Linked DNA regions of Astyanax mexicanus. The protein of the gene in region 1 binds, or shares a complex with, the protein of each later gene. Links are inferred from orthologs where the notes say so. Each region holds a gene or a part of one and is shown in the gene's direction. Other genes may lie near its edges. The genes, in order: txnl4a, lsm6, snrnp40 and pqbp1.

Evidence for each region.
Region 2: txnl4a (region 1) and lsm6 share a complex: the UniProt entries of both Homo sapiens proteins name them as parts of the precatalytic spliceosome. The link is inferred for Astyanax mexicanus from reciprocal best matches to the Homo sapiens genes TXNL4A and LSM6.
Region 3: txnl4a (region 1) and snrnp40 share a complex: the UniProt entries of both Homo sapiens proteins name them as parts of the U4/U6-U5 tri-snRNP complex. The link is inferred for Astyanax mexicanus from reciprocal best matches to the Homo sapiens genes TXNL4A and SNRNP40.
Region 4: the proteins of txnl4a (region 1) and pqbp1 are in contact, whole or in part, in a crystal structure (PDB 4BWQ), measured with the Homo sapiens proteins. The link is inferred for Astyanax mexicanus from reciprocal best matches to the Homo sapiens genes TXNL4A and PQBP1. Residues at the interface, in NP_006692.1 of Homo sapiens: Gly11, Trp12, Val14, Asp15, Ile18, Asp68, Phe69, Met72, Tyr73, Glu74, Met82, Phe84, Asn87, His89, Met91, Gly97, Asn98, Asn99, Asn100, Lys101, Leu129; in NP_001027553.1 of Homo sapiens: Gln241, Gln242, Arg243, Pro244, Tyr245, Pro246, Ser247, Pro248, Gly249, Val251, Leu252, Ala254, Asn255.

The regions. Positions count from the first base shown.
Region 1 is NC_064410.1:756,028-763,214, forward strand, and holds the start of txnl4a (thioredoxin-like protein 4A), read left to right. Parts: upstream 1-4,184; 5' UTR 4,185-4,319; intron 4,320-5,499; 5' UTR 5,500-5,521; coding exon 5,522-5,674; intron 5,675-5,820; coding exon 5,821-5,924; intron 5,925-7,187. Other genes in the region: adnp2b (activity-dependent neuroprotector homeobox protein 2b), read left to right, coding at 1-2,034. UniProt on the Homo sapiens protein: Plays a role in pre-mRNA splicing as component of the U5 snRNP and U4/U6-U5 tri-snRNP complexes that are involved in spliceosome assembly, and as component of the precatalytic spliceosome (spliceosome B complex).
Region 2 is NC_064414.1:49,786,686-49,794,572, forward strand, and holds the start of lsm6 (U6 snRNA-associated Sm-like protein LSm6), read left to right. Parts: upstream 1-4,876; 5' UTR 4,877-4,995; intron 4,996-7,014; 5' UTR 7,015-7,019; coding exon 7,020-7,113; intron 7,114-7,887. UniProt on the Homo sapiens protein: Plays a role in pre-mRNA splicing as component of the U4/U6-U5 tri-snRNP complex that is involved in spliceosome assembly, and as component of the precatalytic spliceosome (spliceosome B complex).
Region 3 is NC_064410.1:50,280,408-50,287,822, forward strand, and holds the start of snrnp40 (U5 small nuclear ribonucleoprotein 40 kDa protein), read left to right. Parts: upstream 1-4,407; 5' UTR 4,408-4,541; coding exon 4,542-4,652; intron 4,653-6,213; coding exon 6,214-6,343; intron 6,344-6,712; coding exon 6,713-6,806; intron 6,807-7,365; coding exon 7,366-7,415. Other genes in the region: zcchc17 (nucleolar protein of 40 kDa), read right to left, coding at 61-161, 1,397-1,454, 1,569-1,647, 2,084-2,151. UniProt on the Homo sapiens protein: Required for pre-mRNA splicing as component of the activated spliceosome. Component of the U5 small nuclear ribonucleoprotein (snRNP) complex and the U4/U6-U5 tri-snRNP complex, building blocks of the spliceosome.
Region 4 is NC_064419.1:20,725,481-20,732,902, reverse strand, and holds the start of pqbp1 (polyglutamine-binding protein 1), read left to right. Parts: upstream 1-4,417; 5' UTR 4,418-4,569; intron 4,570-6,693; coding exon 6,694-6,760; intron 6,761-6,864; coding exon 6,865-6,976; intron 6,977-7,367; coding exon 7,368-7,422. Other genes in the region: timm17b (mitochondrial import inner membrane translocase subunit Tim17-B), read right to left, coding at 322-385, 469-568, 2,961-2,986. UniProt on the Homo sapiens protein: Intrinsically disordered protein that acts as a scaffold, and which is involved in different processes, such as pre-mRNA splicing, transcription regulation, innate immunity and neuron development.

The DNA.
Region 1 (7,187 bases):
GCTGGACCTGCCACGGTACCTGTCATGGGAGGCATGGCACCTCCGCCTGCAATGCATCCGGTTATGCCACACCAGCAGCTACCAGTCAGGTTGGGAGTGCCTGGTCAGATGCAGCCTCCTTCCCGTCAAGTTCTGGTCCCGCCAGGAATGCAGTTCAACGTGCCATCTGTAAGAGGACCTCCACCACCACCACCAACACCGCAATCGTTGATTGTATCTCCACGGTTCCCTGTGAACCAGCCAACTCCTAGGGGCACCATGTTGACATCACAGTCTCTCCTAAGTCATCTGATTCCCACGGGCAACAAAGTGGACGGCCTACCTACCTACACTCTTGCGCCACTGCATGTTTTGTCTGTCCGGCCAAATAACATGCAAATGGCCAACAACGCGCCGTTGCCTGTGCCGCATCATGTCCCCACACTTCAGCACAACGCCTTGGCCAGCAATGGCTCCCAGGACTCCAAGCAAACCAAGAGATGGGTCACCTGTCCTGTTTGTAATGAGCTTTTCCCATCCAGCATATACGAATCCCACGTCGAGGTCCATAAAGAGGCGTCCAAGAAGACCAAGCTAGGCCTAGCCGCCCGAGCACCCTTCTTGAAGAAGATGCCAGACAAGACTGTGAAATGTCTGATGTGCAAGATCTTGCTCTCTGAAAAAGGACTTTTTGAACATCTGCTTCACGGCCTGAACTGCCTGTACTGTTCAGGGATGTTCTATTCTCTCAAGCAGCTGGTTGCGCACATCCAAATGGATCACAATCCCAACCAAAAGGCGAACTGTGACTTCATGAGGCGAGAGTATCGTCTTTACACTGACGAAAGTGGCAGCCTCCTGTTCCCTTACTTTGACATCAACACCACAGCGCCAAAGGAGATGATGGGAGAAAAGGAGCTTAACTTGGCTCTAGTCACCAACTCCCTTGATTTGATATTCTTGAAGATGCTGCCTGCAAGTCCTCAGCAAGTGTGCAAGATGCCCATGCCAAAACCAGACAGTTTAGACTGTGTTTTCTGTTCTGAAAAGCAGCTGAACATGGAGTGTTATCAGCTTCACCTCCGAGAGAAGCACTACATTGTACCTACCCTTCATGCTATACTCAAATCCCCGGCATACAAGTGCGTCTACTGTGGTGGAGTGTACACGGGGAAAACTACAGAGAAGGCAATCTCCGTCCACATATCCAAGTGTCGCTCTGCGCCCAAGACCCCTAGAGATGCCGAGAGGATAATGAGTTCTGGTCTAGCCGTTGCGCCCAGAGGAAGCCAAGGGCTGCTCTCGTTTCCTCCACCTCCAAGACAGTCTTCGATTCAAGTTCCAGCTCCAGTCCAAGCCTCGGTCCCTGCGATCCAGTCCCCGCATACAGCCGCGGAACTGCAGAGCAAGTTGAGGCTGGAGCTAGCCGTGAAGGAGGCCATAGCGGCAAACAAGAAAGAAAGAGAGGCCAGGCTAGCAAGGAAAAGGAAGTTGGAGAGAGACAGGTTAGCAGGTTTGACTCCTCCGTCGCCTGATATGCAGGTTGATCCTTCAGTGCAGTTCGCTTTGGACCCTGCTGGAATGGATATACGGTCATTTGAAGATCGGAGGGATTTTGTGAACAAGTACTTCAACAAACAGCCCTATCCGCTCAAGAAGGAGATTATCGCCTTGAGTAATCGCCTACTGCTGAACAAAACCGACATCGCCTGCCAGATCGGATCGAAGCGCACCAGATGCATGAAGCACCTGCAGAAAAACAGAGCCGCCGTGCTTTTAGGTTTCAAAATGACGGAGTTGTTGAAACTGAAGCACGACCTGGTTATTCCCCAGATTGAGCCGGAGAAGACCTCTGCAGACACAGAACCAGAATCCCCGGGTTCAGAATCCGCGGGATCAGAACCTCTGGAATCGGAAACCCAAGACCCAGATTACATGGAACCAGAAAGCCCGGAAGCACAAACGCCAGACCCAGAAAACATGGAACAAGACACCCCGGGAGCTGAAACCCCAGAACAAAATGGTCAGAGCGAAGAGGCCCGAGAGGTTGACTAGTTTTGTTTTGTTTTTCTTTTAAAGATGAATAAATAATTCAGAAACAGGAACAAATGGAGTGGGAGACTCCTCAAAACAATGCAAAAACAAGGTATATTGTATTAAAGGTAGATCAGTTCTCACAGGACCACGTTCATTTCCTTAGAAATCTGTGTAGACTCCTTTTTCTTGGAAGTAAACTTAAATAATAAGTTGAACTTACAGTGCATCTGGACTTATATGCTGTTCAGTAATATTAGTTTTAGTAGTCATTCTACACAGTACTGTTAAAACTTTGAGAAATGTTTTCCCATTACATTCAGACAACTCACATGTTTTACAGTGTGTTTATTACTTTTGCCTTCACTTTGTTTCTGTTCGTTCTTGTTTGTTTGTTGGTTTGTTTTTTACATTTTAGCATATTATCAACTTTTTATACCTGGATATTAATATAAAACTGAGGCGCATTTAGTTAAAGCGCTTTCATAGTAGTGTAGTTCAACGTATTTAAGAAGTTACCCGTTTTCTTTCCTGTACGGTTCCAGTATTCTGTTTAAGTGCTTCCTCATTTATTCTGTGCCTACATGATATGTCAGTATGGTATGTCAGTGTGTGTTACTTTACATAGAATTGTGCCTAAACATGAGTTTCCCTTTCAGCCTCCTTCTATCATGGTCTCTTACTCTCTTACTTCGTGGGTCTCTGGATCGGGATGATTTGAAACATTGGGATAGCGATAAGTCCTTTTAAATAAAGGCTTGGCCCTGAAATTGGTAGCTTACTACACCACTGTACAAGTTTCAGTAAACTGTTTCATTTCTCTGGCCTACCAGCCCTGAGGTACCACTCTGTTGTAAGCATGGCGGTCTGTTGTTTCATTGCCATTTGTAAGCATGGTTCATGAGCATTTGGTTTTTGTAATAGTGGAATGTAAGACTGTTAAAAGATTTAACATATTTGCTCACAACTTGATTTCAAGCTTATCTCTTTAAAAAACAAGGCAGATTGCATAGTGGAGCATTTGTAAGGGCACTATGTAAGAAAGAATGCAAAATAAAGTTACACCTTGAAACACTGTATGTGCTGTTAATGTCTGCTTTATTTTAAAACATTTTATTTAATATTTTGACTTCATACATCAATGCATAAGACATTTCTCAATAGTAATCATTTTGTATGGTTCGTTGTTCGTAAAAGTTTGATTCAGTATAAAAGACAACTGTGCGTAATACATAGGGGCAATTCTTTGAGATGGGTGATTTTAAGCTCATATAATATTTTCATCTGATAGTTTTAATTAGATAAGCCTTTGACCTTTTAATTTTTATCCAAAATGATGCATTTCCTTTAAGATTTTTTAGGCTTTTATATGTTTTCTGACTGTCCTGTAAATTATACACAAAGTCCAATAAACATTTACCTTGTGTTTCTTAAATATTAATATAAATTTGTCCAATATCGGGGTGTAATTCAGTGTGAAAAGTAGCCCTAATTCCACATTTAGCATCACAGGGTATTTGACTCATTGTTTTCCCCTAAACAATTGTTATCTATATTTTATTTATATAACTTGGTTGAAATACGTGATTGAAACACCTGAGTACCATGATTTAGGTGGGTGATAGAATTCTTCTCGCAATATAGACAATACAGGTGCATCTCAAAAAATCAGAATATCATTGAAAACTTTGCTCTATACTTTAATACTTCCTTTATTTCAGCAATTCAGTTCAATCTGCTGGTGTTGATCCACTGTGTTTTATTATCAAGTCTAAAGTCTTGTTTTGTTAAAGTCAGTTTTGTTTCCCCACAAAATCTTACAGCACTTCATATCTTACAGCTTCCCTCTGCTGACGATAACTTTCATGGAGATGCTGATTTCATTTTCCAGCAGGACTTGGCACACTGCTAAATGCACCAATCATTCTTGTATAATATTAACATTTTCTGAGACACTGCTTTTTTTGGGTTTTCATTGGCTTCAAGCCATAATTATCAACAATAAAAGAAAATAAACGTTTAAAATATATCACTCTGTGTTTAATACATCTATATAATATATGAGTTTCACATTTTGAACTGAATTACTGAAATAAAGTTACTTTTAATAATATTCTATTTCATTGAGACGCACCGGTATAGTGTACCCACGTTACGTGAGTACGCGCCTCCGTGCGCACGTGTGTGTCGTCACTTCCGTATCCTGCTCAGTCCGCGAAGAGCTCCGGCGGATGGGGGAGGTCTGATAGAGGCAGAGAACAGCAGCACAAATAAACACAAACTACACTGATTTCCTCTTACTGAAGGTAATATTCACGTTACTCATCTGTTTTACTGTACATTGTCCCTTTTAAATCTGTTTTTACTTACTTAAATCTTTACTTTTACTCTGTAAACGGGTTTAGATACCCAGACTAGTAGTAAGCAAACTACTTAGCTTAGCATAGCTGCCTGGAGTGTTCCAGAAATTTTAAGAAGCTGATATCTAAACTAAGCTAAACTCGGTTATCTAGCCTCTATTTAAAGTAGAGAATATAAAGTATAATCATGAATATACACTGTAACTGTGATTTATATTGAAAATAATTAATGCCTGATTAAAAAGCTAAAACACAACCGAGGAAAAAATGTAAATACAATCCACCAGCTGCATTATGCAGCTGTATTTACCAAAATTAAATGATCACTATTGCATTACATTTCACTGCTTTTCATCTCTTTATTAAAAATCAATACACAAAAAATTACATTTACAAAACCAAATACTGTTGCATTTAATCACTAATGTCAGGAAAACGAGCCGCAATTAAAAGTAGTTAGTCAGGAAACTCTAAAACACAGCTCACCGGAGTCACTAAATCATATTTCTTTTTCTTTTTATTCATCTAATTTTCTGTTTTTACCTTTTAGACTTTTAATTTGTTTTATTTATTTTATTAATTTTGTCTTTATATTTGTTGTTTTCCTTGTTTTACCTTTGGCCTTTAAGCTTTTTAATATCATTTATTTAATATATTTTATTATTCTAATCGTTTATCTCTTAATTTTATTGCTTTACATTTTAGCCTGTGCACTTATCCTTTTATTCAGTTTATTTGTATTTCTTCTTAATTAAATCTTATCTTGTTTTTCTAAAGCTTTTATAATTTCATTTTGATTTTGTTTGACGTTACTTATTTTAGGTCACATGATTAAATTCTTGCTTTTAATTTCTATTTAAATGTAAATTACCCTCAATCTGTTACTGCGTGAAAATAACGGTTAAATGATTCATAGTTAAAAGATCCGGTTACACCAATTTTAACTAAGCCCCCTAATTTTAGCCAACTCCACCCTCATGTGCAGTAGTGAGGGGTAGTTTGGAAAGGACAATGTGATGTATGGGTTTAGGGGTAGAAGTGAGAGCTGATTGGATTAAAAACTATTGATCTACAACATAACAGCACACATTCTGAACCATCATTCGTCTTTCTTGTGTTACTTTAGGGAAAATATTTTTTGAGCCAAGATGTCGTACATGCTTCCACATCTCCACAACGGCTGGCAAGTGGACCAGGCCATTCTGTCCGAGGAGGACCGTGTGCTCGTCATCCGATTTGGTCACGATTGGGACCCCACGTGCATGAAAATGGACGAGGTTTTGTACAGTATTGCTGAAAAGGTGACTACATGCTTGTTTATCTAAAATAATCATTACTTTGCTTTTGCTCCCAATTTTGCTTTTGTATCTTACTAAAAATGGGTAGATTTCTGTACTGTAGAATTTGTAATTTGTCTCATTCTGTCTTTTCTCCTGTGTAATCCCAGGTCAAAAATTTTGCCGTCATTTACCTGGTGGATATCACTGAAGTGCCAGACTTTAACAAGATGTACGAGTTGTATGACCCTTGTACGGTCATGTTCTTTTTCAGGTGAGTGTTTGCCATATGAGTCTGATCCTTTTAATTTATCAGTGTAAAACACTACACAGCTATTTAAAAATATCTCTCTAGTAATCTCTCTTCTTTTGTCTTCTCTTGATTGCATCCTTTTTTTTGAGACAATGTTGTGAATTTCAGAACACAAAGCTTAAAATGAGCTTAATCAGAGTGTATTAGCTGTAGTAATCCTTTTTAAATACATCATCAGGGTTTACATGAACCACACCACATATAAATGAAGGTTGAGGCTGTGTAAATTTTAGATTTTACCCACATGCATTTACACCTGATAGCCTTCAGTTAGTCAGAAGGCTAAGAAATAAAAGTGACACTGTGTAAACAGGATTATAGTGTGGTTCAAATGGTCGGACTAAATACATGAAAAGTATATATTATAAACTAGTGCTGTATTATATGAGGATAAATATTGTGGGGACGATAAAGTGTTTATCGTGCTATCCCTATCGTTTTTCTACAGTAATTTCATCGATTATTCATGCAAATTAGGGTTGGGCGGGTTTTCAAAGTGTTTCATACTGTCATACGTAGGCCAACAATAACAAAATTTTCAGGACGATATATTGTCCCAGAAATTATTGCGATAAACGATAATATCGTCATTTTAAAGCACCACTATAGATTTTATTTTTTGTTTCCTGCTTCTGGGCTCCCAAAGGTGCTTTAAGACAATGTGCCACACTAATAATATACTAGCATAATACTATTACACCATTTTACAGATAAACTAACTTTAAATTATTAAGTGCAGACATTGGGCTCCCAATATAAAAATATTTTAATATCCTAAATAAACAAATAAAGTACACCCACCCTGGGTTCTGAAAAAACTGCACTAAATATTAAACCCTTATTGTAAAAAATAAATTAACAACAAATAGATTAATGTAACATTTACATTAATTATTAAAAAAAAAAACTCTGAACACACGGGCACTTGCAGATTCCTTTTTCTGATCATATATGTATTTATGCAGTAAAACACACATTAGCTTTGTGCATATGATCAAAGACACACAGATAGCTCATCAGGCCAGAGCTTTAGCTAGAAATGTATTTTTTAATGTAACTGTCAGACAAATTCTGAGCAAGAAACACCAGCATGTTTACCGTGTGGGGCTTGAGGCAGGATCTCTCTGGGGGAACAATTTTTATATTCAGTATTCAGCTGGATGGTTGTGCTTTAAATAAGATCTCAGGTTAGTGGCTTTTGTTTCCACTGTTGTGAAACAAATA
Region 2 (7,887 bases), on another chromosome or scaffold:
TCCATCCAGTGCGGGGATTAGGGAGAGGGCGGATGGGGGGAGGGTGGGGGCGGGAGAGAAAGGAGAGAAAGTACACGCCGGCAGCCAATCTGGTTTTCATTTGAAAACTCCCTCGAGGTTTTTCCATTATACCCCCCCTCCCTCCATATCCAGGCTGACCCCGGAGAGAAAGCCCTCGCCCGCGAAGGTCAGCTCAGTCTAGACTCTCCCCGCCATCCGTCCATCTCTCCATGCCTGCCTCCCTTCCGTCTTCTTCTTCTTCCCAGCGAATGTGCCTGCGGCAGGCAAGGGTTACCCCCGCCCCCTGTTTTCTTTTTTTTTGTGTTTTTTTTTTCCCCCGCTCCTCAGCAGCTCCTACACTCTCTACGCTCCTCCTCTCTAACCCTGCCATAGCTCCCACTGTAATCTTTTCATTTCGCCTCCCCTCCCTCTCAGGTCTTCAGGGGCTTGGAAAGGTGAAGCAGGTTGTACCAGCAAATCAACTGTGCCACTGTCCATCTGAGCACCCCCCGGTATCTCCGAGCCAGGCCCCGAAAAACAGTCCCATCTGCCCTCTCCGGGCGGCTATTACTGTTGAGTTACAGCTTTCGCATCGGTCAAGGCTCAGGGCACTCGTCCAAGGGTCGCCCGCTCGCAGCGCGCTCGAACGGTCTGCGCCGCCTTTTGTCTTTCGCAAATCAGTTTTGTATTTGCATGAGGCCCACCCACACCCGGCGGCGCGAGAAAGCCGCAGAGCCACCAATCGCTTTATTCATTTCATCATGAAAGAGAAAACGTGGTGCCGCAGAGCAGCGCCGATCCAGAAGGACAGGTCAATAAGGTTAAAACGTCTTCTTCTCCTGCGCACAGAGGCTGCGGGAAACATTCTCATCGCCTCTCCAGGCAACTGGCACAATGGCGTAGAGGAAAAAGCTCGTGAAACCCAAGTTGTGTCTCCACGGCTCCATTGTGTTTTCATTCAGTATCACTTAACAAGCCTGGCTCTTGGCTCCTGTCCAGTAAAGTCAAGAATGAGCTGCAGTACACCAGGAAGGTCAATATCGTGTATGTGTACGAGTGTGTACGAGTGTGTACAAGCGTGTATGTGTGTGTGGGCACTCTTTGTGTGTGTGTGCATGTATGTATGTGTGTGTGTGTGTATGTGTGTGTGTGTATTTGTATCGCTCAGCTCACAACCTCACAACATCATGACAGTAGCTCGTACTACCCCTCCATTATTATCAATCCTGCTGTTTTTCTCCTGCTGGACCTTCAGAAAGCAGCCGGTATATAACACACAACAATCGCTTTGATTAAGGGCAGGCGTTAAAGCCTCCGAATGGCTTCCCTTCCTCCAAGCCCCTTCCGGACACGGACCGAGGGAAGCGACGAGGGGAAGAAAGAAAGAGAGAGGAAAAAAAAAAAACGTTCATTGAATATTCATTAACCTGTGCCTAGGTGTGTACGCGGTTCTTAACCACACTTGTTTATGACTTAAGGACTTGTAGCGCTGACCTTAGTTTAACACGGCGCCAGATACCAAATTAACCTCTAGCCTCCGCAGGGCTCGCCATGCCCCGCTAACAAGCAAACTGTCTGGATGCGCCAGACGTGCTTTATGATTCTGCCTCTCAGGTTCCTGCCTCGCTCTGCCTGAAAGCAGCAGCGCACACTGCTCTCCAGCCCTGCTCTCTCTCCTCACTGTTTATCCTCCACCTACATCCATCCTCCCTTCCACGGCTCCTCTTAACTCAGCCTTCACTCCGACAAGTTCTTAGGACAGAGCGGTAGAAGAAAAAGAGATGATAATACCATAATACCATAATAATCAATGCAAGTGTGAGCTTGACCAACAATGCTTAAGGGGCTGCTGAATAACATTGGATAAAACATTGCAAAAAAAAAATGAATTGGAAAATATAGTTAAATAAGAGTTGTATATGTTTAAATTAAGCAAAGAAACAGCCAAAGTGGTAAACAAATTTTTCTTAGTAAGAGTTCCTAAAATAAGCACTCACAAAATGTCAGTTTTGGCTTATTTTCAGTTTAAATTCTAAGTAAGACTGATTATGATCATAAGTCCTAAAATAAGCCAAAGAATCTTACACGACTTACAAGAGAAAGACAAGTATGGTTGGTGTGGCGCAGTGGATAACACCACTATCTGCCTGGGTGACTGAATGCTGTGCTACACCAATAAGAGTCCCTGGGCTAGACTCCTAACACTACATTGGCCCACCTCTGTAATAGGAACAAGCTTGTAAGTCGCTCTGGATAAGAGCATCAGCTAAATGCCATAATTGTAAATATCATAGACTGTATATAGCTGGACAGAGCATCGTCTCTTAAAAGTGAAGCCACCACAGGTCGGGCGCCCCCTGCTGTTCGGCTGCAGAAAGCTGTGTAACCCCACCCATCCCCATAGGTTTCAATGGCAAAGCAGACAACTTTCAATCACGTTTTTTTTCTAATATACTCTAATTCTACCTCCATTATTTAAATGCAGCAGCTAGTGTAGCCTCTGCTTATATTGTCAATTTTTTATATCCCCACAGAATTCGGTTTTTGAAACTTTATTCGGCTCTATTCAAAAAAGGTGTGGTTATGGTAAAAGGGCTGGTTATGGGCGGGACCAATAACAGACCGTCAGCTCCGCTCCGCCCCGCTCTGCAGTCTGTGACCGCGAGGCAGCCCTCAGGGGCGGGGTTATTTAAATGAGTAGGAGCTCTCAACAGCCTTTCTCCCTACTCTGGTCTCTACTGCGCAGACTCTGGTCTCTGAATCGCCAAAACGGCGGAAGATTCTGGCTTCATTTTTATTTTTTTGCAGTGTACTGATCACCATTACATTTGTACAGTCCTAACTTGTAACAGTTTCTTTTGTAAACTCTAAGCACAAGCAGTTCAATATAGTATTGACAAAAAGGTTGAACTGTTGAAAGCAATATTATGTAGCAATTTTACCCTTAAAGAGTAGCTTCAGAACCATACTGATGCTCTGAAACTGAAAATGAGAAGATTGCATCTCTGGATGGAATGATGATACTGCACTGTGTAGTATGTTATGTATGTTAACTTTGATAGGCATTGGTTAGTGTTCAAATTCTGTAATTAAATCAACATTAATTTAAAGGTTTTAAAAGGTTGATCTCTTATACTCTATTAATAATAAGATTATTAATAATTATTATTTAAATGTCCTTTTCTACACTGCAAGACCACATTATATAGACTATACTAATAGAACACAAACAAGATATGCATATATAATGTAAGTAAAATGTAATACAAACCATTATTATAAAACAATAATACTAAATTAATGTTGAATCAACATGCACAAATAAATTCATTTTGATATCAGAGATCAATACAGTTATATTGAATAAATAAATAATATTGATTTAATGTCAATATTTTGCTGTCTGGTATTTGCAATTTCTTACTTGGTTCAAATCAACTGCAGCATAAATCTTTATTTTTACATGGAAATATGTAAAAAAGTTAAATGTAAAAACTATTAAATATGAAGTCTAGATTGAAAACTTACTTGTTTATTTAGCTTTTGGTAATTAATGTTTCTCCTTTTAGATAAGGCTGCAGATTCAGGGGTTCATGGACAGAGGGAATTGTGGGTAAACTGAGATGCTGGTGCTGTTGTTCTCCCACTGCACACGGTCACTCAGGTTTGTGGACGGTGGAGTGGGTGGATGCTGATGTTTCAGGGAGGCTCCGTGTCTATGTTACCTTCTGGCTCTCTCCCTTTAGTTAGTTTATTCAGATCTGAGTTTTATGTTTTATATTTTCTGTTTTACATAAATCCAGTAAAACTAATTCCATCTCTCTGCCTTCCTCCGAGTTACTGACTGCCCACCTGTCTGACCCAATACCGATGGATGTTGGACCCTCGGGCTCTCATGTCCCCTGTCCGGCCAGACTGATGGAAATTTCTGAAGTCAGCTCTTCTCCATCACCCACCACAGATCAGCTGCTCATCATCAATCTTACTCTCCACTACAGATTACATCCTTACATATACTCCAGAATATATAAAACCTATGTGGATGTATAAAGACTTTTTATATTTTAATTTAAAAGCCGTTTGACCAGTGGTAGGATGGTCACCCCTTAAATGTGAGTCTTGGTCCTCCCAAGGTTTCTTCCTCCTCCTGCAGCTCTGAGGGAGTTTTTCCTTGCCTCCGCGCTCACTGGGGGTCCTGTGTTCTGTATTTTCTATGTTTAATGTTTTGCCTGATTCTTTGTCCTTTGATCACATTTCTGTAAAGCTGCTTTGTGCCAACACCAGCGCTATACAAATAAATTTGATTTGATTTGATATGAACATGAACAATTCATGGTGGGAGGTTGTTTGTAACTATCACTAATGTGAAACTCACAATTATCAAGGGACTGCAGTTCATCTTGTTCAATATTCAGTAGTATTTTGTATTATTTTAATTAATTAATTGATTTTATTATTTTTTACTGAATCAGATTTTTTTAAAATATAACAATATTACGACTTATTATAACTGTATTATAATTGTATAATATTACAATTTTGATGTCCTGCAAATCAAATACTTGTATCTCCAGTTTTGCATTTTTAATTAATTTATTGTTTATTTTTTCTTTTTTTTTTTTTTACATATTTTTCATCTGTAAAAAGTGAAACATTACATATTTTTATTTTAATAATATAATATAATATAATATAATATAATATAATATAATATAATATAATATAATATAATATAATATAATATAATATAATATAATATAATATAATATAATATAATATAATATAATATAATATAATATAATATAATATAATATAATATAATATAATATAATATAATATAATATAAAAGCCCTTTGTCGTGAAGGCGAACTGTCCCTCAGCGGCACCCGTAGTTCTGTACTAAGCTCGGCTGCTGATTGGTGGAGCGCCATCAACACCGGGACGTGCAGAGAACGTTGTTGAAGCAGCAGCTAAGCTAACCTGCGCTAAAATAAGGTGAGTATAATCCGGCGGGTTATGGATTCAGTGCGGGATATAAACCCGCAGTTTATAAGAATAAATCGCTGTAGTTACAGTAATAGTGCGGGTTTATAGCGGAGGTTTGTTTATTATGCGGGTTTGGAGGCAGTTAGATGTGTAGCTAGGCTAGGCTAACGTGGCTAACTGCTAGATAATACTGTAGAATTCACTGGTTTAACTAAACTAGATAATCTAGCCTAACTGCACAAATTGAACCTTTTACTGTAGATATGTGAGATTTACGTGGTTTTAGCAGACAGAACTGCCCGAGTTTTTTTTACAGTATTTATACAGTATTTTGTTATACAGTTTTAGCTAAACACAGTAACGTTACTATACTAGTGAATCTCAAAAAACAATTTTACTTTATTTCAGTAAGTTAATTCAGTTCAGAATGAGAAACTCATATATTATATAAGTGTTACTGTTGTTGATTATGACTTACAGCCAATGAAAACCCAAAAATCAATATCTCAGAAAATTAGAATATTATATAAGACTTATTTTTGGCAGTGTGGGCAGTGTGCCAAGTCCTGCTGGAAAATGAAATCTGCATCTCCATAAATGTTGTCAGCAAAGGCAAGCATGAATGGCTGTAAGATTTTCCGAGAAACACCAGCAGATGACATGATGTCTCTCCAAATCATCACTGATTGGTGGAAACTTCACACTAGACCTCAAGCAGCATGCACTGTGTGTCTCTCCACTCTTCCTCCAGACTTCCTTGATTTTCCTAATAAAATGTAAACTTTACTGATGGTCATCTGCTGGTGTTTGTCCACTGTGATATATCAAGTCCAAAATCAGTAAATGAACCAACAATCAAGCTGATTTTAAGTACATTAATAATCGTCAAATATTGATGGTGTACTCAGTATGCTTATTAAAGCATCTTGTTTATTCAATAAGAAAGTGTCAAGATATGATAAAATATTGATCTATTGCCCAGCTCTAATTCTACAACTAGTACTGTGTATCTCAAACTACTGTTTATATACAGTGAGGCAAATAATTATTTGATCCCTTGCTGTTTTTGTAGGTTTGCTTACTGACAAAGACATGAACAGCCTATGATTCTAATTCTATCTTTCACAGTGAAAGAAATAATAAATAATAAAAATGGTATCTGTAAAATGCATATCAATGTATATCATTTATACAATGTGATTTTTCTGGATTTTATGTTTTATATATTTTATTGTTAAAATGAACCTACACTTAAAATTGTAGATGTCTTTTGTCAGTGGGGAATCAGCAAGGAATCAAATAATTATTTATTTCACTGTAAGTTATAAGCAGATGCATGTACCTACATGCTGTATAAGTTGCATAGCTGTCTCTTTAACTTATCCTCACCACACTCTCTGTGCCAGCACTGCACTGTCCCATCTGTTAACTGTCTAACTGATATGTATATTTCATGTATATTGCTATTTCTTTCTAGTCTTATGTTCTAGGTTTATGTTTGCACATTGCACTTTATGTATTTCATTGAGAGTCCTATGTTGCTTTATTGTCATTTCACTTCACTGTATACTTGCAGTCAGGTGAAACCTCATAACAACACCTTAACAACTACTTTGGATACCACAGTAACTAGCTAGAAATATCATAGAAACCACCTGGAATAACATGGCAATCACGTGGCAACAGCCTAGCATGGATTTGATACAGTAACCACTTAATCTGTACAACCATTTTGTGTGTCTATTAGGAAATGCTCTTTAATAGTTTATAATAGTTGTTTTTTAATAAGTCTAACAGTGTAAAGATGAGCATTGTGTTCAAGCTGAAAAGAAAAAAAAAGGATTAACAAGGTACAGATACTTTTGTGTGGGTATAAAAAATGAGTTCGCATGAATTACTGCAACATCAGAAATATTAAACATGTGATTAGTGTGAGATTGAAATGCAGACTTGCAGCTCGTCAGCTCATTATTATTCATTCTTCATTTATAATTCACTCTCTTTTTTTTCTTTTTCACTCCCTGTTAGTCAAAATGAGCCTCCGGAAGCAGACCCCCAGTGACTTCCTGAAGCAGATCATTGGAAGGCCAGTGGTGGTGAAACTGAACTCTGGAGTGGATTACAGAGGTAAAAGCACCACTGCTGCTTTGAGTAGCTGAAAATGAACTCCTGCTGTAATTTGCTGTGTGCTGAAGCTGCATCTGTTATGTATTTTTCTTCCATTATATGGGCTTTCTCAAGATTTATATATTTTACACTGGTAGTCTAAATAAATTGCTGAAGTGTTGTATTTTGTTATTGGAGGGAGACAAAATCCTTATCTTGTCTTGGTGACAACCTCACATTACTTTTGTTTTTTAAACTGATCTTATTTATGTTTCCCACACATAAGAGTTAGACAATATGACTAAAAACTTGTATTTTAATATGTTTTACAGAAATGGTAATATACAATATATAATGTACTGAAACCCTTAGAGTAGTGTTACAGAAAGTGTTAAACCGTCAGTATTTATTTATAACTAAGTAGGTATTTCACTGGCTTAGTAAACTGCACTGGATTATAATGGTTGAAATAAAGTAATGATGCTTCTCCTTTAATTATGATATTTCAATACCACAATTTACACAAGACTGAACTCCACAACACCCATGTACAACCTTTAAATAAATTGCACAGCTGCTTCGAAATTATGATTTGATCATTTTTATATATATATTTTTTTACAAAACAAGCTTGAATAAAGGGAATTATTTTACTGATCCTACACTTAAGCTGTTATTACCTGTGCAGAAGCAGGAGTGTCCAGCCTTAAAGAGCCAATAAAACTTGTGAAAAAACATACTTTTTCACACTAATAGGGAGGATGATGTTTCTGTGTACTTTGGTACGAAAACACT
Region 3 (7,415 bases), about 50 Mb from region 1:
TTGTGTTTAGTTATCAATTATGAGTGCCATATTATTGAGTGTCTGCTCTCAGTTGTGTACCTCTTTGCCAATGACTTTAATCCAAACTTGCTCACCAACGTCCACGATTTCAGAAGGATTCTCTATTCGAGTTGCAGACATCTCACTCTTATGAACCAAACCTGTTAAGAGACAAGTGTGACTAATTCCATATTTTTATGTTTATCCTGAGTGAAAATAAAGGTTGATTTATTGATTGATATTATTAATTACAGACATATCTCAGAGCCACATACAGGAGAGAAGCTGTATCCAGACAAGACCACACAACAGAATTGGGACTAAAATAAACGCTAAATTATATGAATGAATTAAACTACAACAAGTATGACCAACATAAATATCAGCATAACAATCAAAGAGTTGTAGCACAATACACAGGCTGTGTGCCGATTGCTTTCTACACACTTGAGCTGCATAATATTGGGGAAAAAATATATTTTATAGTACAAGATTTTCACCACCTTATACCTGAAATATTAATAAAAATGTAATCAAATAAGTGGTATTGGGAATATATAATGTACAACTGGTAGATAATTCATGGAAATGGAAATCTAATCTTAGTGTGGGTTTGGAACAAAATATTAATACATGAAGTGTATGCATATGAAGTGCTAAAGTATTACTTTTCCAACAATGGTCGCTGCCCTGGCATCTTTGTCCACCATTATTTTGTTTTTATTTTTTTTCAGACATTACACATTACATTGTCCTTTGTAACCACAACCAACAACTGACTAATTCTCAGTACAAAATATGGATATTTGAGTATTTTGAGATTTTTATTCAGACTACACAACCAAAAACTAGGTATTACTAATTTGTTTGCAACCGGGACACACTCATAGTGCTAAATGTGAACAGGCAGTCATGGAATACAGTAGCTAGTGTGGCTAGGGTAGTCTGAGCACCTCTTAATAAGTGTGCAGGTGGAAGATGTGAAGCAGTTAGTTATAGAAGAAAGTGACAGCCTCTTGCGTAAATGCTTTGTAGAGAGGAAATTACTCATATGTTGTCATATTTTGGTTATTTGATATACTTTTCAAACCAGCTTTACATTTTTTCTTTGCTTTTTGCTGCAGAAACACACTCTACATTTCTTGCACCAAGACTGCTTATTCCAAGAACTTGGCATTTAGCTTTTTAGGCCTGATGTTAGATGATGGGTTTAAGCATGCAGCTCCAGAGCCCAATGTTCAGGCTTTATACCGCCCTTTACCCTTATACCGACATTAAGCGTTAGTCATGGTGAATTCAGGCTCATTGGCTGCTCACCTAAAAGATTGCAAGGGTTAAAGTGTATGTGAGTGGTGTCATTCACCATCCACAATTGAATAAGACAATGAAAAGTCACCTTGCTTCCTGTATCCTGGAATCTTTACAAAAGCTCCATAATCTGTTACAGAAGCCACCTACAAAGGTAAAAGAGAAACAGAAAGAAAAATAGGAGGCGTTACCAATTAATAAGAAAAAACCCTTGAGGAGTTTACAATCTCTCTCTCTGCTCAGCTGTTACCAGGTCTCACCTCTCCTCGCAGGATACTGTACAGCTCTGGCAGTCCATCCAGCCCAGCTGGCTCTCTATGCTCACCAGCCATCGATGCTCTAGGTTGAAACAGAAAAACACATAGAAGGCATTACAAAAAGCACAGTTAGTGGCAACGTACAAATTTGGTATCAAAATATGCTCTCATAGAAATACAAAGACATACATATGATCAATGGTCTGTAAGCACTGGTAATATTTAACATATCCCCTAGTGTTATTTGTGTTACCATTTGATTCCCCCCAATGTATAAGTAATCACCAATCACAATCATTTAACTGAATTTTCTGAATCAGCTTTGCTAAAAATATTGTCATTTAGAGCATTTATTTGCAGAAAATGAGAAATGGCTGAAATAACAAAAAAGATGCAGAGCTTTCAGACCTCAAATAAATGAAGTTTTAAGAGTTCAGAAATCAATATTTGCTGCAATAACCCTGGTTTTAATCACAGCTTTTTATGCATCTTGGCATGTGCTCCTCCACCAGTCTTACACACTGCTTTTGGATACTCCTGGTGCAAAATTCAAGCAGTTCAGCTTGGTTTGATGGCTTGTGATCATCCATCTTCCTCTTTATGATGTTCCAGAGGTTTTCACTTTGGTTAAATCAAGTTGTCTTTTAACCCAGAGCTGTACAGGTCCTTCTAAAAAAATAGCATATTGTGAAAAAGTTCATTCTTTTCCATAATAAAATGATAAAAATTAAACTTTCATATATTTTAGATTCATTGCACACCAACTAAAATATTTCAGGTCTTTTATTATTTAATACTGATGATTTTGGCATACAGCTCATGAAAACCCAAAATTCATATCTCACAAAATTAGCATATCATGAAAAGGTTCTCTAAACGAGCTATGAACCTAATCATCTGAATCAACGAATTAACTCATAACACCTGCAAAAGATTCCTGAGGCTTTTAAAAACTCCCAGCCTGGTTCATTACTCAAAACCCCAATCATGAGTAAGACTGCGGACCTGACTGCTGTCCAGAAGGCCATCATTGACCCTCAAGCAAGAGGGTAAGACACAGAAAGAAATTTCTGAATGAATAGGCTGTTCCCAGAGTGCTGTATCAAGGAAGTCTGTGGGAAGGAAAAAGTGTGGAAGAAAACGCTGCACAGCGAGAAGAGGTGACCGGACCCTGAGGAAGATTGTGGAGAAGGGCCGATTCCAGACCTTGGGGGACCTGTGGAAGCAGTGGACTGAGTCTGGAGTAGAAACATCCAGAGCCACGGTGCACAGGCGTGGGCAGGAAATGGGCTACAGGTGCCGCATTCCCCAGGTCAAGCCACTTTTGAACCAGAAACAGCGGCAGAAGCGCCTGACCTGGGCTACAGAGAAGCAGCACTGGACTGTTGCTCAATTTTTGCATGTCATTCAGAAATCAAGGTGCCAGAGTCTGGAGGAAGACTGGGGAGAAGGAAATACCAAAATGCCTGAAGTCCAGTGTCAAGTACCTACAGTCAGTGTTGGTCTGGGGTGCCATGTCAGCTGCTGGTGTTGGTCCACTGTGTTTTATGAAGGGCAGGGTCAATGCAGCCAGCTATTAGGAGATTTTGGAGCACTTCATGCTTCCGTCTGCTGAAAAGCTTTATGGAGATGAAGATTTCATTTTTCAGCATGACCTTGCACCTGCACACAGTGCCAAAACCACTGGTAAATGGTTTACTGACCATGGTATTACTGTGCTCAATTGGCCTGCCAACTCTCCTGACCTGAACCCCATAGAGAATCTGTGGGATATAGTGAAGAGAAAGTTGAGAGACGCAAGACCCAACATTTTGGATGAGCTTAAGGCCGCTATCGAAGCATCCTGGGCCTCCATAACACTTCAGCAGTGCCACAGGCTGATTGCTTTCATGCCACGCCGCATTCAAGCAGTCATTTCTGCAAAAGGATTCCCGACCAAGAATTGAGTGCATAACTGAACAAAATTATTTGAAGGTTGACTTTTTTGTATTAAAAACACTTCTTTTATTGGTTGGATGAAATATGCTAATTCTTTGAGATTTTTTTTTTTTTTTTTTACTTTTTTGCCAAAATCATCAATATTAAAACAATAAAAGGCTTGAACTACTTCAGTTGTGTGTAATGAATCTAAAATATATACATTACAGAAAATAATGAACTTTATCACAATATGCTAATTTTTTGAGAAGGACCTGTGTATGCAGTGTTAAAGTTTTAGATATTATTTATTCGAGTTTTAACTAGCAATAACACGGTTATACAGTTTTCACTACTATAAATTGCTGTGGATATCTGGTATTGCAATTTCTACTAGTTAAAATGTAGTTATAAATAAGAGAGAATAAAATTCCATAGCTTATGTCACTATGAACTGAATTATCTGCTCTTCATTTAAAAAAGCATGCTACATTTTAGATTACATTTTAATTTAAGAACTGTCCATTATAAACATCTATTATATATAAACCAATAATAGAAGGAAACGTTGCTGAACTTACTGCTTTCTTCAGGTGAATCCAGGTCAGATGGGAGAGAACGGAACCGGTTTGTGGATGAAGAATAAGGCTGGAGGAGCTTTTATGAAGTCGGTAGATCTTAGTTTAGGATAAATTAAGCATTTCATGCAGTTAAAATACTTAAATAAACCAATAGGTCAGCAAATAATCAGCCTATACTTTCAGTAACACACACTGAATAAACTCGTGCAGGGCTCGTGTTGTTGTTCTGCTCCGCTTACAACTTCCTGTTCAAATGGGCCTCCGCACGGCCAACAGCCAATCAGGAGCCGGCAAACATGAACGGACCAATCAAACGCCCCGATATCACCGGAAGTGTTTGTATTTCACCCCGGCGTGGTGTTAATGGTGGACGGTGAGGAGATCCGTTCAGCTGAATTTAAACTCATACAGAGAACCCCGACCCCCGGCTCCAGCTCATACCCCCGCCTCACCCCGAGAGACCCCGCCGCTAAACACCATGATCGAGCCGAAAAAGCGCGGCGCGGACATGGCGCTGGTTCCCGCCGCCGTGAAGAGACCGAGGAGCGAGCTGGTGGCCGCAGCGCAGAACCAGCAGATCGCCACCATGGTAACTAACAGTCTGATAATCTGGTAAAAAACACAGACAGGGAGATATTACTGTAAAACACTGTACAATTATGAGGTACACTACAGTGTGGTATGTCTGGAGTAACCACACCAGATTTCTGTAGTAGAAACTTTTGTTTCAGATGTGGTATGATGTACTGGTTTAGGAATAATATCAGCTCTACAGATCAATCTAATAAAGCCATTCCTATCACCTGGAGCACAACCCTTTCGAATGTTCTGTATTTATTCATAAATATGACCTAAAACATCATCAGATTTTCAAACAAGTCTTAAAGTAGGTAAAGATATTAAACATATTATACATTGCCATTTATTTATTTAGGAAAATTATCCAATATTACACACAGCTCTGGGAAAAAAGGAGACCACTTCAGGTCTGAAGATTGACCGTCAACTTATTTGAATGTCTGTCAGCAACCGCAGAATAACATTAAGTGACCTATAAAAAGAATGGCAAATGGCAGCTGGGTTGAAGTGCATGGAAAGAACAGTTCAAAACAATCTCTCAGAGGCGGGCTAGAAAAAGTACATTCTCCAATGAGAAGCAAAAAAAGAACCAGGCTAAAGTTTCCAAATTTGTCTATAGAGGACTGGAGTAAGGTCATCTTCTCTAATGAGTCTAATTTTCAGATTTGCTCAACACATGGCCATCAAATGTTTAGATGGAGACCTGCAAAGATGTAAAAGACACAGCTTGCACCCACTGTGACATTTGGTAGAAAATCATTAATGATCTGGGGATGCTTCAGCAAGGATGGAATTGAGCAGTTTGGTTTTTGTGAATGACACATGATTCAAGCCGTATACAAGGTTACCCTGGAAGAAAACTTGCTTCGTTCTGAACTCTTCTTTAGATTAAACTTTAGTATTGTTGTTGTTTCTAAATAAAGGCGAACTTGTTTAGCTTTGCATTATTTGAGGTTTGAAAGCATGGCATCTTTATCGTTAATTTGACCATTTCTTATTTTCTGCAAATAAATGCACTAAATTACAATATTTTTAATTGGAATTTTGAAGAATGTTGTCCGTAGTTTATAGAAACTACATATACCTATAAATAGTTAAATCAGAGAAACAGATTATTTTAAAGTGTTCTCTTAATTTTTTCCAGAGCTGTATTTGTGAGTGGCAAAAGTATATGAGCCTCTGCTTTCAGTATCTGGTAGTCTAAATAAACATTGAATCAATGTCAGAATTTCAACGATGCCAGTGAAGGATTGTAAAATTAAGATAGAAAAACAATCATTAACCTGAAATGATGTACTGCAATAAAAAAGAGCGTTTATTATATGTTTATTCAAACATATCTCTAATTTAGTTCTAATAGCCAGTAAAAATGCATTCAACATATGTGCAGTGTTAAATAGCTTTAATACAATAGCTTAAATACTGTTATTGGTATGTAAAACTCGGAACTAAGTTAGTATCTGTATAACTGGTGTTATTTTAGTTAATAATTTGTTAATAGTTGTTATAACAATTCTTTGCCTCAGTTTGAAAATTGTTTCCTTATATTAACCAAAGCATTATTTTGTCAGGGTCCTCCTCGCAGCTCCAGTTTACAGGCTCCTATAATGTTGCTGTCTGGACATGAAGGAGAAGTCTACTGCTGCAAGTTTCATCCCAATGGAGCCATGCTAGCTTCTGCAGGATATGACCGCCTCATCTGTAAGACTATACTCTGAGCACGTTTGTGAAAATGCACTGAGCGTTAATTTATTATTGTGTTGTCTTTCTTTCTGTGAGCCATAATGGTAAAAGAACCACATGATGGTGCTTATAATTTGCTAATTTCATGGGGTCAGAGCCTCAGAATTAAATATAGTCAAAATTCTTAAAAAAAAAAACAACAACTGTAGATGGTCAGTTTTGGTTTTATTCTGCTATGGGCTAGTCTCAGTCAAAAAGACCCAATTACTGTAACATAATGTGTATATCTGTTTGACCCCCTCTGCATAAGTTTAATAGTTTAGCTAATTACATTTTCTTGTAATAAGCTGGGTATTCTGTCTGAAATGATGTTTGTGTGTTTTGCAGTGTTATGGAGTGTGTACGGAGACTGTGAGAACTTTGCCACATTGAAAGGCCACAGTGGAGCTGTGATGGAGCTTCACTACAATACAGATGGAAGGTGTGTTTTAAAGTGTAAATAAGTTATAGCATAGATCAGGGTATCTGTAGATGTCTTGCATTCATTTATTAAAGAAAAGACTTTGATTAGATTTAAAGCATTTTAAACCCATCTCCCATAGGTCTTAAAACTACAGGTTTGTTTTTATTTTCAAGCATTGCATTTTACAGTTTTTAAATTTGGAATGCAGGGTAGCTTACTGATTTAACTGCAGACCGAGCAAAGTGGCGTAATTTAAGGTTCTGAGTTGTGCTACTTACAGGTATGTTAATTACTTGCTATTAGATTTCCCCAATTTTTTACTGGACCTTGTTTTTTAGTGGACGGTTTTATTTCCGTTTGTGTAAAACTGTTAATTTCTGTTTTTTATTTATATATTTGTTTAGAAATCACAAGCGTTTATTCTTTTTGGTTTGTTTTTTGCCTTAATTTTTTCTCTAAGCATGTTTAAAAAATTTTGTCTTGCATGCCGATAACCTGAGATTCATCCTTTTTTTTCATGGTGATCCTTTTTAAAGGTAACTTCTTAAGTCATACTTCTTTCTCTCTCTTTTTTCAGCTTGCTCTACTCAGCCAGTACGGATAAGACTGTGTGTGTGTGGGACAGTG
Region 4 (7,422 bases), on another chromosome or scaffold:
AACCAGCCAAGAAAGTAGGAGGAGCTGCAGCATTTAGTTTCTGCCCTGATAAGTGTCGTTAGGAACCTGTTTTAGTCTCATATGCCAACAGAGAGTGAATGAATGAAGCAGCAAATATAATCATATCTGTAACACTGATACCTGACAGCACTTGTTTACTATTAGGAACCTGATCTTTTTTGGCTGAAGCACAAGCCCAGTAAAAATACTGATACTCTCAGGGAATCCAGGTCAGTCTGTGCTTGTCTCTCACTGTAACAGAAGGAGAACAAAGAGGCAGGAGAAGAATAGAGCAAGAATCAGGACAACAGAAAAACTTACCACCGATCTGCGGTGCTCTAATTCTCACAGCGTTCGCACTGCCTTTCAGCCGGTGTCGTACGCCCTGAGAGAGAGAGATTAATCAGAATCAAAAGAATTCACAATCAGCATGAAATCAGGTCATTATTTAGGCACTGAAACACCCACCACAGGCGCATTCCTGAAGCCTTTGATGGACTGAAACACCCCCCCACCGATGGCCCCCATCGTGAATGCACCTCCGCAGTCATCTACTATTCTCCAAGGACTGAGAGAGCAAATAAAGAGATAAAAAGACACATAACGAAAAAAAGATCATGAGGTATCACGAAACAGAGAAAGACAGGTAGATAAGACAGACAAACAGAGGAAGACAGATAGACAGATAGAGTGGGTATTATTATAGTGGGTCACCACCTTAGAGACCATACCTGACTGTTGTCTATAAATATTAGGGGTGGGAATCGATTACTATCTCACGATTCGATTCGATTCCGATTTTGGGGGCCACGATTCGATTCAAAATCGATTTTTGATTCAAAACGATTTGAATTATAAAAATTTCTGCTTCTGGCTTATGAATCTTATTGAAAAAAAAACCCCTCCATAATATACACTGGTCCTGGAGCAAGTAATGTGTTACAAAAACAATAAAATGTGCAGGAATGTGGGTCCTCAGTGACAGAGGAATCACTGGGATATCACAATGACGTTAATGAACAATAAATAAATAATAAATAACACTGCTTTATTACCAGGCTACTAGCGGTGGTGTGTAGGTGACGCTGCTGGGCTGATGTGATGATAGCAGTGGAGCGCTAAAGTTCAGGAGCAGCTGCTGATTAACTAGTTAATTTAAGGTCGTTGTATTTCTTCAGAAAGGGGGCAGGAGGTGGAGAAATTAATTCATATTGTCCATTCCTTAATTCCTCTGTGATGAGGAGCTGAAATTAGCTCTGATTAGCTTATTGTTATTTTTCCGTTCCGCCTTAAATGCTGCAGCCCGCAGCCACCTGTAGCGTTATTTAAGGTGGAACTGGAAAGTTAGCTTGTTAGCTAGCTAACAGTTACTGAAACTAACTACTAGCGATCTTTTTTATGCTTGTTATGAAGCATTCTGCCATAAAACATTAAAACTACACGTTAATCTAAAGTAATATAGTGCTTGTTCTGCCATCTTACCGGTGATTCTCAAACACCTACTACGCTCTGTGTGGGTCTGGAAGACCTCGGTTTGAAGGGACAAGCGGGTTGCCAGGTCCAACAAAAATACCCAGCCCAAAATCAGTCCAAAACCCGCCCCTCAGAATCGATTTTGGGACATTTTAAATCGATTCTGAATCGTAGTAAATGAGAATCAAGATTCTTATGTGAATCGATTTTTTGGCACACCTCTAATAAATATTAATAATTACTGTTGTTCTTTTTCTGTTAATTTTCTGACAAACATTGACAGAAACAGTTACAGTTAGGCAAGAAAAAAACGACTTTAAATGTTGAATCTTGGAAAGACAAAAAGAAAACAGAAAGAGAGAGAAAAAAGAGAGCCAGACAGAATGGGCAGAGCAGAGTGAGAAAAACAGATTATAGAGTAAGTGGTGGGTATAATCGTGAGAATGAGAGAGGGTATTACATAGAAATAGAGACAGAGTGGGTATTTTGAGAAAAAGAGAGAGAGAGAGAGAGAGAGAGAGAGAGACTGCAAAAGGGAGAAAGAGGGAGACACAGAAAAAGAGAGACTGAAAGAGAGAGAAAAAGAGGGATGCAGAGAGAGAGAGACTGAAAGAGAGGTAGGCTGAAAGAGAAAGGGAGAGAGACTGAAAGAAAGAGAGATAGACTAAAAGAAAGAGACAAAGACACTGAAAGAGAGAGAAAGGGAAGAAGACAATGAGACTAAAAGAGACTGAAAGAAGGATACAGACAGAGAGACTGAAAGGGAGAGAAAGAGAGAGACAGAGAGATTAAATTATGTATAATAAAAGAAACAGGGAAGCGGGTGGTATAGACAAACAGAGAAAGTAAAGGTCAGAAAGCGAGAAGTAAACAGATGCAGAGAAATAGTAAAACTGTAAAAACCGTGAGAAAAAAAGATGAGAAAAAAACTAATAAAATAAAGAGTGGTAAAGTAAGACGAGTAAGCATACATGGTGTCAGAAAACTGGGAAAATTATGGAGGACAAAGAGAAAACACCGGGAGAACTAAGACAAATTAAGAAATAACAAAACAGACAATATAATCTAAAATTCCCTGTATTTTTACTTTACTTTACTTTTACTTATTAAGGAATTTAAATGTGCGTTACTGTGGTAATTAAACGCTGTTACTGGCTAAGAGGTCCTCCTGCATGTGTAGTATCTGTGAGTATTTGTATATTCGTGTGTGTGTGTATAGCTCCACTGATGTAAGACTCGCAGCCCGACCCTGAGGAGGAGGAGGAGGAGGTGTTTATGCTGTTAGCCAGCCCCGCTAACCGAGCGCTGTACTGCACTCACACACACACACAAACACACACATACACTCACTGCAGGAACTACAGGAAACAGAGCCGACACACAGTCACACACAGGCGGGGGAAATGCTCCTCTGAGCGGAGTCAGAGCGGCTCTGTTTACCGGTGGTTTAGTTAAAGAGAGAAGCTGTCTCAGAAGTTGTACTTTACCAGGGTTCACGGGCATACTCCTCCATGATCAGCCGCTGACCTCGGCGCCGTGACGCAGCCGCCCGCCGGGGTTTCAGCGCCACCTGATGGACAGGATTAGCAATGATTTTCCACCCCAGAGAGAAGAGAGTCTGCATTTCTAGTACAAAAAATATAAGGCACACATGCCAACTTTGTACATTAAATGTATATAAACTAAATTAAAAAATATTTAAAATGTCAGTATTTGTACCTACACCAGGTATTTCTCATTTTTTAATTAAGAAAATAAACACACAATACAAAGTTATTGTACAGTTACACTTAGTATACATTATGTCAATGCACAAATGTTTTCTGTAGAGAAATAAATACACTGACCATTGGTGGCCAAATGAGTGCTAGAGAAAGACAACGTAAAATAATTAGAATGGGTATGGAGAGAGAAACAGAGACAGATAGACAAAGTGGGTATCATGAGATAGAGGGAGTAAGGAGCTGATCACTCACTGAGGGAAAACCAGTGTGGACAAAAACACAAAATTATTATAACTAATTTACCGAAATCACTGATTTATTCCTTATTATTACGTATTTATAGTCTTTTCACCCTTATTTTCCTTTTCTTGTCAATTATAATTAATAATAATAATGCTTACGCCTGTAAATAGCTCCAGTTGTTGTAATTGTATACATGTATGTAATTATTATTATTATTATTATTATTATTTTGCTTTTATGTGTTTTCTGTCATATGCTTTGGCAATAGTGTTTCTTTTTACATTTATGCTAATAAATCACTATTAAACTGAACTGGACTAAGTGGGAGGGAGAGAGAGAGAGAAAGAGAGAGATAGACAGACATACAGAGTGGGTATCATGAGAAAGATAGAAAGATACTTTTAACTGCACTTTATTAGTACAATGGCTAAAACACTTACAAATCCAAATGTTATATATATTCACAAATTCTCAGGTAAATCTCACAAAAAAGTAACAACTCCTCATTAGTAACACATAAAACGCTATTCAACATCCACTCTCACAATCAATTAAATGCCTGGAGGTTGTGTTTTCTGTAGAGAATAAAAACACCAACCTGTGGTGCCCAAATTGCCACAAAGTATAAGATGACGTAAAACAGGTTCGTTTATTCAAGTCATTTTGCAGCATTTGCATTGGTCCAAGTACCAGGTACAAAATTACGTCAAGAAAGAGAAATGGTTAAAATAATTCTGAATCTTCATTCTTGTCGTTTTTTTTATTATTTAAAATAAAGTACTTTTATTACATTTTGCTTGCGGTTGGAGGATCGCTACAAGTAATCCCGTGCTGTGATTGGCTGTCTCAACAGAAACGCCAAGGACTGTTAATTTCATTGGACCATATCAAACTCCTTGTTTGACTGGAGCGGACACTCGATAAGCTGTATAATTTTATTATAATTAATTTAACGTAATTTATTTATTTCATTTATTCTATATGCTTGTCCATAGCTCTCTATAACAAGCAAAAACACTTAAATCCCACTGGGACCACAAGGGGGAGGAGCGTGACGTCATTTTTCTGCGCCGACTGAAGCTGGTAGCTGCTGTGAATGAAAAGTTAGCAGCGCGCGGCTGTTATTAAGGTAAATAAACCAGCGGTTCTCTCAATTTATCAATGTGGATTATTTACAGATGCTGCAGACTGTATTGCCTGCTGTGACACTGGTTTGCATGGATATCTAGCTGAAATACAGCAGATAATGGTTTAAATAGGAGTCTGAGTACGCTGGGGTAACGTGCTATGCTATTTAGCTAAGCTAGCGTTAAGTCTGAGGGCTGAATGAAAGTGCTGGGTAACTAGTTTTGCTGTAACTCGTGTTTTGTTTTTACTCTGCAAACAGCACCTTAATGATCATCAATAATACAACCAAATGTTACAGCTGTCCTAAGAAGTAGAAATAAATTAAGAGTGCCACAGACCACAACACTGGTTTAGTTGCTAAGAGTCAGGACCAAACATAGTGCTGGACGATATGGCAAAAAAAATATTACGATATAATTCTTAATTTCGGTCAATACGATATTTTTTTATTTACTTAATTTTTTTAACCAGGAGGTCCCTTGAGATAAAAATCTATTTTTCAAGGGAGATCTGGCCAGGACGGCACACCATTTCCAATTACAGATAGGGCTGCAAATAATGAATATTTTGGTAGTTGACTAATCTGATGATTATTTTTTCGACTAGTCGATTACTCAATGATTATTTCTGCCAGATCCCCCATCTCTAAAACGATAGAACATGAGAATTATAAAGCAATTTAAATGCCTAGAAGTTGTTTAAACGTGTAAACTACTGATATGTAGTGATTAAATATGTAACCTGTTGTGTTTGAGCACTTTTGGAGACACATACTAAATTGAGTGTAAACTGTATGAGTGAGCCATTTACCATCTCCCATTGTGTTTCTGTCACCACTTTGTGTAATGCGGTACTGTTACAAATTAACGATTAGTCAAAAATGAAATTTGTAGTCGACACATTTAAATAATCGACACTGTCGAAGCACTAGTTACAGAACATTACAACATTTATTTACATTTAGAATAAACACAAAACCAACATGAAAGCACAAAACAGGCATGTCAGAGTAGCCATTGCATGTTTCCATCACAGACATTTTTTTACTTATCACAGAATTCATCACAGAAAGGATTTAAGCTCACTCAAGAAAACCAACTCTGTGATTTGTTTTTAATGTTATTCCAAGACCATGGTGCAAAATAAACGAAAACTTTTTTTGCCCAGTTCTAAATTAATACCAATATCTTTATGAACAGTGTAAAAGCCAGCCTTGGTGTATGTAATCACATACTAATAGATCTGTATAACATGGCAAAATATTATATCACAGTATTTAAAGATAATCATTTGATTAACTGTATGCATTGTGTTTTAACTGTTCAAATACTTTTTTATGTAGAATACTGTGATTTCTATAAATTCTAAAATGAAATAGAATTTTTTTACACTCTGTCAATAAATGTACATTTGGGTCAGTGCTTTTTAAGCAATGATGATATAGTTGATTGAAGGAAGGAAATTAATCCTTATCAGTATGAAAAAATATCAATATATTTTTCAGCTCTAATCAAACAAAATAAATGTAAGTTAAAAATATTTATGCTTAGTCCAATTCTGCTACTAAAGCAGCATCTAAACACTACAACATGCTGGACAGTGGTACACCAGAACCAGGGTTGAGAACTACTGCTTTAAGACACATCTTTATTTTTTAGAGAGTGGTGCTGTATCGTCTATTCTGATTTTAGGGTTTGGTCTGTAGTTTAAATTGACTAGATCTGGGTGGATGTGTTCACCCCATTTGTAAATGCAGTTGTTGGCATGTAAGTCAACTAATGTTTTTTTTTTTATCTGGTTGCTTTATGTTCTTGTCTAAAATACAAAGTTATTGTTTTTTGATTGGTGTAATGAGCAGGCATAAGAAAGCCAAGCTTTCATTACTTGTAAAAAGCTATAAAACATATTGCAAACAGGTTGTGCCCACACATCCGCACCCATCAGCAATTGTTTTTTTATGTTTTCACATCTTCAGGATATACAGTCATATGTATAATAACGAGCATCTTTGTGCGATTTCCTCATCTCTCTAGAGTGTCTTACTAAAATCTAGATAAATTTACCAACAATTAACAATTTCATGTTATTAATATGCAAAATATCTCTCCATTTTTCTTCTCCCCAGATGCCTCTGCCACCAGCTCTTCTGGCTCGTCTGGCCAAGAGAGGAATCCTAAAGCAGTCAGAACATGGTAAGATGTCAGCTTACAGTACATAGTCAGCTGTACTTCTTAATGTAGTCAATATACAATGTATGTTTTGCTTATGACTGATTGGATATGTTGTTGTTCTTAAGACAATGAAGAGGAAATCATTGCTGAAGACTATGACGACAACAATGTAGACTATGAAGCTACAAGGGTTGAAAATTTACCCACCAACTGGTACAAAGTACTGGACCCTACCTGGTAAGTGCTTCCTGTATTGCACTATGTTTTAATCTCGTTGCAATGCTAGAACCCTTGTGTACTACATTACATAAAAAATAACACAAAAAACATTCATTCAAATTATCTGGATTGCATCTTCTTAGTTCCATATATTGACTTCATATATGTGTTTTATGTGACACCTCATTTAAATCTTTTGCCAGAGTTTTAAATGGGCTAGATTGGACAATAACAACAGATTATGTAATGAAACTTGCTGTGATTGGATTAGTGTGTTATTCATGTATACACCATAATGAGCCTGATGATATAACAGAAATATGGAAGAATAAAATAAAATTATTTTCCCCCCTATATCATTGCTTTATAAATATTTAATGACACAAACGTCCCTTGTGTTTGTTTTCAGTGGTCTCCCATACTACTGGAACGTAGAGACAGACTTGGTGTCCTGGTTGTCTCCC